2 linked regions of the Nothobranchius furzeri genome follow. The protein of the gene in region 1 interacts with the protein of each later gene in a biochemical or structural test. Links are inferred from orthologs where the notes say so. Each region holds a gene or a part of one and is shown on either strand. Other genes may lie near its edges.

Region 1 (4,222 bases):
ATTGATTGTGAAAGACAACTGAACACTCACTGTGTACAATATAAATTAAACAAGTCAATAAATCGCTTACTATTTATTGAACTTCAAACATAAAACATAAAACTTTGTGTTGTGATCCTTAGGGTCCTTTCTTCAGTCTAGTTGTGGCGGCAGTTGGCCACACAGGTGCCTGATTTTTAAATTAAAAAAAACTTTATCGGCTTTTTAAAATAATTTTGGCCGACATAGAAAAAACTGAATATATCAGCCGGCCTCTAATTCAGATCTGAGAAAGCCACCAGCATGCCTCCAAAATACTAATATCCATTTTATGGTTGGAGTTTTGAGATGTAGTAAAGCAGGCCTGTCGGACGTGGGTGGGGGGCATGATTAGCTCTAGTGGTGTGACGTTCATGAACGAATCGAATCTTTTGAACGGGTTTTCAAAGTGAACGATGAGAGCAGATTCCCTCTAGAGAGCTGTTCATCTTGTCTTCCGGTAACAAACCTCCCCAGAAGTCAGTAAAGCGCAGCCGCTCAAACACCACCCACCACTGTCACGGACGTAGGAGGAGCACTAAACAACCCCGTGCACCCTCACGGACACCGCCGCAACACGTTGCTCTCTTTGCTTCGCTTCTTTCAAAGGAGCCAGTCTTTTGAACGGCTCTTTGAGGTAAACGACCGACTAATGAACGACTCCCACGAAAGAGCCATAAATCCCTAATCACACTAATTAGATCAAAGTCTGATAATCGGCCTTTTTTATTGTGAACTTATTTATTGTATTTGTAAATTACAAAACAGTCTTCCCTATCCTGAAATACAACCGTCTGTAACATCATCAGTTTAAAGATGGGTTTAGAGTAAACAAATGCAACAAAAGACCCTGATAGAGTAATACACACCAGTCTGTGTTAAATATTGTTGTAATGCTGCTTTCTGTCTTTTCTTCCTGTAGCTGACTGATCAGCCGTCGCTGGAGGAAGCCATTAGGATAGCATCAAGGATACAGCAGGGAGAGTCACCAGGCCTGGATGATTGATGAACTCCTTATGGACAAAAAAAAGACTGTTTAACTTTATAAGTGGGAGAAATTATGAGTCTTCCTTCTATTTGTTTTCACAGATGAAAGTTGCTCTCATGTGTACATAGGATTTTAATAATCTGAATTATGTTGTGTATTTTTCCCCTCATAAAAACATTTGGGGGATGCCTTCAAATGTTAAAAGTGTACAGTAAATGCTATTTGTAAACAAATCTGTGACTCTTAACTTTCCATCACTATTGCTCCACTCTGCAGGTGAAGAGGCTAGAGATCCATACCAAATGGTTCATTTAGAATATTCCTAACAAATAAACAACTTGCTGCATCAACAAAAAAGGGTACAATGGAAGACAACTGTTAAGAGATGGTGCTTACAGTGTTATAAATAACCAGATGATTCAGTTTGGGATTTTTTTTTCCCACTACAAACCACACCACCCAGTCTGCTGTATAACTTCACCTTTGGCAGTGAGAATATTTCTTCTAAAAAGGAACGATAAGTTTGACTCGTTTGAAATTCGCGGCAATATAAACGTAATTTTGATTAACGTAATTGGGTTTCAAGTTGCTTCACAACAGAGGCTTGTTTGATCGTGCCGCCTGATGACTTCGCGTTTTGTCTTGGCAATGTGAGCGTCGTGAAAAGGCACACGTTCGCGCCATATTGTTTTGCTGATATCTATGACGTAATCCACCAGAAATCGCTCTGGAACGCCCAGCTTTCAAAATTCAGAGGCAAGCTCTGATTGGCTGCGGTGTGACACGTGACCAACGGTCGCGGGAAGTTCTTCGCCACGCGCGTCACGGGAAGAACTCGTTGCTTGACTCATTCAAAACTTTTTGTAAACATAAGTAAGGTTTAATCGAGGAAAGACGTCGGTGAGTCACCGGGACGTCGGTGGACCGGACAGCCGCACTGGAGTTAACGGACTGAGTACTTTTATTCGTTTTTACTTTAATACTTTGGACGTTACATGGAATACGGCTCGTGAGAGGCCATTTCTTAGCGTTTCTCCCCGTGTTGTTGGGAGTTAGCAAGAAGAAAGTTAACGCTGGAGATTAAAAAACGTCTTAACCGATACCTTTACGTGAAGGTAAATAGAAGCAGACTACTTTTCTGTGGTGGGTATCCCCGGTATTTTTTTTTTTTTTTTTTTTTTAATTTTTTGGTCGATAATCTCGGGGTTTAAATCTTGAAAATGTCGAGTTACAGTCGCCATCGACACGGAACCCCCTCCCCTAAGTCTCGACCCATCCGTCAGAAGTTAAAGTTCACTTCCAGCGATGGAGAGGACGACCCTATCGAGGATGTGAACAACAGCACCGGCGGAGAGTCCGGCTTCACGGAGATGGATTCCCCCACGCCATTGCGACGGGACACTGTCGGGAAGCGGCTGGAGGGCAGCTGCAGCCCCCTGAATCAGTCCGGTGGGGACGACGACGTGGAGCTGTGGGACGAGGAGAGTCTCGGTTCCCCGTCTCTAATCTGTTCACCGAGCAGTGTTATTTTTAAAAACTGTTCACCGAGCAGTGTTATTTTTAAAAACTGTTCACCGTCATCCAAGAAAGTGTCCCGGTTGTTCGGAGGGTCGCCTGAAGCTGGAAGGAGCTTCCAGGACGACGGAGAAGGATCCAGCTCTCCGATCCCGGACTGCCCGGACACACCTCCGCACAAAACCTTCAGGAAACTCCGGCTCTTTGACACGCCGCACACCCCGAAGGTCAGGATCTGTGTAGACAACAACATCTTCATGTGTCTCCGTAGAAACATGAGTTTACTAAACATTAAGAATTTTTTTTATTTATTTTCATTTTTTGCAAGTTTGATCTATTCATTCACAGCTAGCTTTAAAAGCTGCCCTGTTAGGGGCGCACGTTTTAATATAAAACATCCGTTTGTTGTAAAACTTCCAAAAGCCCATTCACTGCGCTAGAGTCTGGTATCAGCCCGGTGACCCATTAATGTACCTGTTGCATAAGCCTGTTGGTCAGAGTCCATGCAGCTTTATGTCCAGACATGTCTGCATTAGACAAGACACCAAAACTTTACTCTTTATTTGAAATCAAGTCAACGTGAGTTCAAGCAGATGTTTTGTTTTGTGCGTTTAGTAACGACTGGTCCTGTTTTTGCAGAGTTTGCTTTCCAGAGCCAGAGGTTCTGCACCAGGATCCTCCAGCAGAAGAGTTGCTCTTTTTAAAAATGTTGAGTCTCCAAGAAAGCCAGCCTCGGACAGTGGCAGGAGACCGCACATCCCGCTGGTCAACTTTAACCCCTTCACCCCCGATTCCCTCATCATCCAGTCAGCCACACAGGAGAGGAACAACAGGAAGAGAGCACACTGGAACGAGTATGTTGCTCAGGGGTTCTCAGATTCTAGATTATCTTGTCAGTACTTGTTATGTATGAAGATACTGTTCTGTAGGACCAGATCAGCTGAAATATCTATTTTATGTATTAGTTGTTCCTGAGGTGCTGCCAGAGATCATCACACGTTGCAGAGCAGGGTCGAGCAGCTGCACCTGTTCTTTGTAAAACACAATGAGGCCTTTGTTGAGGCAGACCAGTGATGTTAAGGCCGTTTGTTGATTAGGACTAGGGGGTGTTGGCTGGAAGTCAAGACCTCATGGTTACTGATGAACTCAGACATGTGCTTGTGAAGGCACTGTGCTGCCCCCTGCTGGATAGAATGCTAACCAAATATCCCCTTGTTTCAGCTCCTGTGGAGAAGACATGGAGGCAAGTGACGGTGAAGGCAAGGATGAAGTCCTCCCACCATCGAAGGTAAATGAAACTTTTACCCCTTCATAGATTTCTTCATTTTGACCCTTTACTGTGGAAACAAAACCCCTAACCCCAAACAAATGGCGTGAAGTAGACTGGAAGATCTCAAAAAAAACATGCCATCATGACCTGTGCTAAAGACGTGTGGTTGTTACCAATATTCTTTGGAAACATCCATGAAAATGTTGTTGAAAATGTATTAAATGATGCCCAGTAGTTGAAAATAGTGGCTGTTTTGTATCTGATAAAAATTGGGTCTGAAATACACAGGAGTGGGTCTAAGGCCCAATCTCAATACTCTCACTTGCACCCTTGATATTACCTACAATCCGTAGCAGCAGGAGAAAAGACTCAAATGCCTTTTTTGAAAATATGTATTTTCTAATGAAAGTTGTCAATTTTAGGACGATTAG
Region 2 (3,651 bases), about 37 Mb from region 1:
ACTTCATAGGAATGCTTGAAATAATTTGAAAGGCTTGAATCGCATTTGGCACTTTTGAGATTTTAATTCATTTCATTTTTAAAAAGTGTTGAAACTAGCTGAAAATAGTGAAATCACAATGGCATTTTAGATCATTTTGAGCAATTTATGTATGTTTTTAATTCTGGCAAAGGCACAAGTCTCCTGCATAGATAGTAAACGTTCATGTCAATAATAGAAACAAAAAAATGTTCAAATGTGAGAAAGAAGCTGTTGTTTTCCCACTCGTTTACTTATTTATTTGTTTATTTTGGCATCCTCTGTCTTAATCTGGATTTACAGCTGGATCTCAAAGGTTCAGTCAGCATGCAGAAAATAGAAATGTACAATATAGTTAAAGGAAGAAAGAAGGAACAATATTTTATTCAGCACCTCTCAAGATAAAAATAAGAAGGCTCTTCATTTGGACAAAAATGTTTTTTTTAAATATCGTAAAATATGATCACCTCAAGGTTGGACTACTCCAATGCAATTCTGTTTGGCATTTCAAAAGCCGCATTATCTCGCCTTCAGCTGATACAAAATGCGACAGCAAGATTTCTGACCAATACTGGCCGTCGGCAGCACATCACTCCCATTTTAGCAAGACTTCACTGGCTTCCTGTGCACTACCGTATACGTTTTAAAATTTTATTGTTTGTTTTTAAGGCACTGAATGGCTTAGCACCACCCTACATATCCGAGTTACTCACTCCTTATGTGCCAGGCAGGACTCTCCGTTCAGGTGACCTACACCTATTAAAGATTCCCCGTCAACGCTGCAAAACCCGTGGTGAACGAGCTTTTTCTGTCTGCGCTCCAAAACTCTGGAATGATCTCCCGCTGCATATCAGACTCTCCTCCTCCATTGGGGTTTTTAAGTCTCACTTAAAGACTTACTTTTATTCTCTTGCTTTTACTACCTAGCTATTTTATCGATGGTTTATTTACACTGTTCTTTTACTGATTTTATTGACTTCTCATTGTTGGTTCTTTGTGTTTTGCTCTAGTTGTTTTATTCTTTTATATTATTCTTTTAACCTTATATGTTTTTACCCCTGTACAGCACTTTGGTCAGCTCACATGCTGTTTTTAAATGTGCTTTATCAAATAAATGGAATGGAATGGAATGGAATGATCAAAGTAAAAGTTGCGATTAAAAATGTGGAGGAAAGGGAACAAGAAACCGAATAAAAAAAAATAGATAGTTAGTGGATCCCAGGGGAAATGCAGTATGGCTGCAAGAGCAGAATGGAGAAGGAAGTGATGAAAAAGAGAAGAAACAAAATAAAATTTTATGCACAGATTAAAACTTTGCTTATTTTTATATTTTCTCTGTGGTCTTGATGTCAAGTTGTTGTTTTTGTTGTTGTTAGCCTCAAGGGCAACATGCCGATTATCACTTGTAAGTCGCTTTGGACAAAAGCGTCTGCTAAATACATAAACATAAAGTATTTTGCATTTTTCTCTTTACAAAATTGTTTATTAATGGTTTAAGTGAGCAATAACTATTCATTTTTGTCTTTTCTTGTAACCTTTGTAATAAAAATATAGATGCACGTTGAAATTTAAACATTTATGGGGTTTTTTCTCTTGCAGGCAAGGTTTACTACTTTAATCACATCACCAATGCCAGCCAGTGGGAACGTCCAGTGGGAGACGGCCGTGGAGAGCCAGATAAGGTGTTGCAATAACAACAACAATAAACTTTAATTACACAAGTTGGATTTTTTTTCTACTATTTAACAGGAAATGTGACATTTAAAATAAACTTGGCAAAAACAAAACATAAGGAAATTTGTTTTCAGTTGAATACTTCCAAGTTTGTGTTGCTGGTTTAAAGTACCCATCAAAGAGACTGATATGGAGGATCTGTTTTATTCAACAGTTTAGAAAATGCTGAAGTATGTTTTCTGTGACTGAATATGAAATAATCCTGATTAGTTGAATCAGTTTGGCTGCACAATGAGTACGTTTACATGCAGCCAATATCCGGGTTATGATCGGGTTAAGGTCGGCATTCGGGTTTCTGAGTTGTTCAGAATAACCCGTTTACAAGCACGAGTTACCCCTAACTTGCATAACCCGATGTAAATGCGGACGTTGGGGCAGCGTCAGGACGTGTGGACTACGTCCAGATGCAATATGCATCATTTCCGGTTCTTCTTGTTCTGGTATCCGTGAAAACAACAAAATTTTTCCCAGTTCGGAAGAGATAGCGACCGTGTTTGTTTGCGCTTTAGTTTCCTCGTCACTCAAAGTGTGGTGCTGTGCCACGACTCGCCATGTTGCTCCCAACTTGTTTACTTCTGGTGTTCTGGCGCATACAAGACGTCTCGCTACTCAAAAGACCAAGATTCCTTGCGAACAGAGCATGCGCAGAACACACGCTTTGATGGGGATATCCCGGTATGCATTTACACGACCAAACATTCGGGTTAGAAAAGGGTTACCCCAGGTGTAGTAACCGGGTTTTTAAAAACCCGGTTATGAGCATATCCGGGTTTCTGGTGGTGTTTACAAGGACCTGCGGAACCGGGTTATTGTGAATATTCGGGTTTTAAAAGGGTTACTGGCTGCATGTAAACGCACTGAATAACTGACTTTGACAAGACAGGCTGTTTATGGAAAAATGATGCATAAACTTTTCAGTCATCTTCTATAACTGCTTCTTTCAAAATGCTTTTGATTTCATGTGTTCAGTGCTTAATGCTTAGTATGAAAAATAAAATGGATCCTTAATGGGTCAGGTGATTGATGATTAGCTCTTTCGATGAAAGTTCTCGGCCATTTTTGTGTTTTTCTTACAGGTCCGCTGCTCTCACCTCCTGGTGAAACATAATCAGTCGCGTCGTCCATCTTCTTGGCGGGAACAAAATATTACACGAACTAAAGATGAGGCCTTGGAGTTCATTCAGAGTAAGTTAGACCAAGCAGAAGAGGAACGGAGGTGTCACTCTGCAGAAGTCTGATCGTTTCATGTCCTTTTTTCCTGCTCAGAGTACATAGAACAGATCAAGTCTGGACATGAATCGTTTGAGTCCTTAGCTTCACAGTTCAGCGACTGCAGCTCAGCCAAGAACGGTGGTGATCTCGGACTGTTTGGCAGAGGTATTAAAACATCACGATCTGGGTCGGACTATTCAGTTTAGTTCTCTGTTTAGATTTGTAGCCATTCGGATCAGTTGGACTTTGTTCCCAGGATAAATGTTTGTGTAGATTTTTATTATTTTTTTAAACATCGAGTGTGTGTGAGAGCAAGGGACAGGTTCAACACTTAACTTGGTTATTTACTAAAACCAACACCTTCTCCCGGTGTTATAGTTTTGCTTTTAACTGTAATACCCCAAAAAGTTTTCCTCTAATAAGTCTGAAGTAACAATAAAATCAAAGTGAAGATTTTTCTGAAAGTCTTAATATAACTGTCTGTAGATGAAAGAAACTGGTTTATAGAGACCAAGATGTTTTGGAAGTCTTATTTGTTTCAGATTGTAAACTTAAAATAATCAGAAAACACAGCTTTTTGTGTGGAAAAATAAAAACTCATTTATAACAAGTAAAAGGGAACGAGACACCAAATGCAACGGCAGGCAGAAACTATCAAATGTTTTATTTTTTCTGTAGAACCCTGGC

What was found.
Region 2: the proteins of wee1 (region 1) and pin1 form a complex in vitro, tested with the Homo sapiens proteins (2 studies listed by BioGRID, with this or other methods). The link is inferred for Nothobranchius furzeri from reciprocal best matches to the Homo sapiens genes WEE1 and PIN1.

Annotation. Positions count from the first base shown.
Region 1 is NC_091744.1:46,647,338-46,651,559, forward strand, and holds the start of wee1 (wee1-like protein kinase), read left to right. Parts: upstream 1-1,421; 5' UTR 1,422-2,226; coding exon 2,227-2,748; intron 2,749-3,160; coding exon 3,161-3,375; intron 3,376-3,742; coding exon 3,743-3,809; intron 3,810-4,222. Other genes in the region: znf143b (zinc finger protein 143), read left to right, coding at 941-1,024. UniProt on the Homo sapiens protein: Acts as a negative regulator of entry into mitosis (G2 to M transition) by protecting the nucleus from cytoplasmically activated cyclin B1-complexed CDK1 before the onset of mitosis by mediating phosphorylation of CDK1 on 'Tyr-15'.
Region 2 is NC_091744.1:9,163,023-9,166,673, forward strand, and holds part of pin1 (peptidyl-prolyl cis-trans isomerase NIMA-interacting 1), read left to right. Parts: intron 1-1,617; coding exon 1,618-1,700; intron 1,701-2,828; coding exon 2,829-2,937; intron 2,938-3,018; coding exon 3,019-3,129; intron 3,130-3,651. UniProt on the Homo sapiens protein: Peptidyl-prolyl cis/trans isomerase (PPIase) that binds to and isomerizes specific phosphorylated Ser/Thr-Pro (pSer/Thr-Pro) motifs.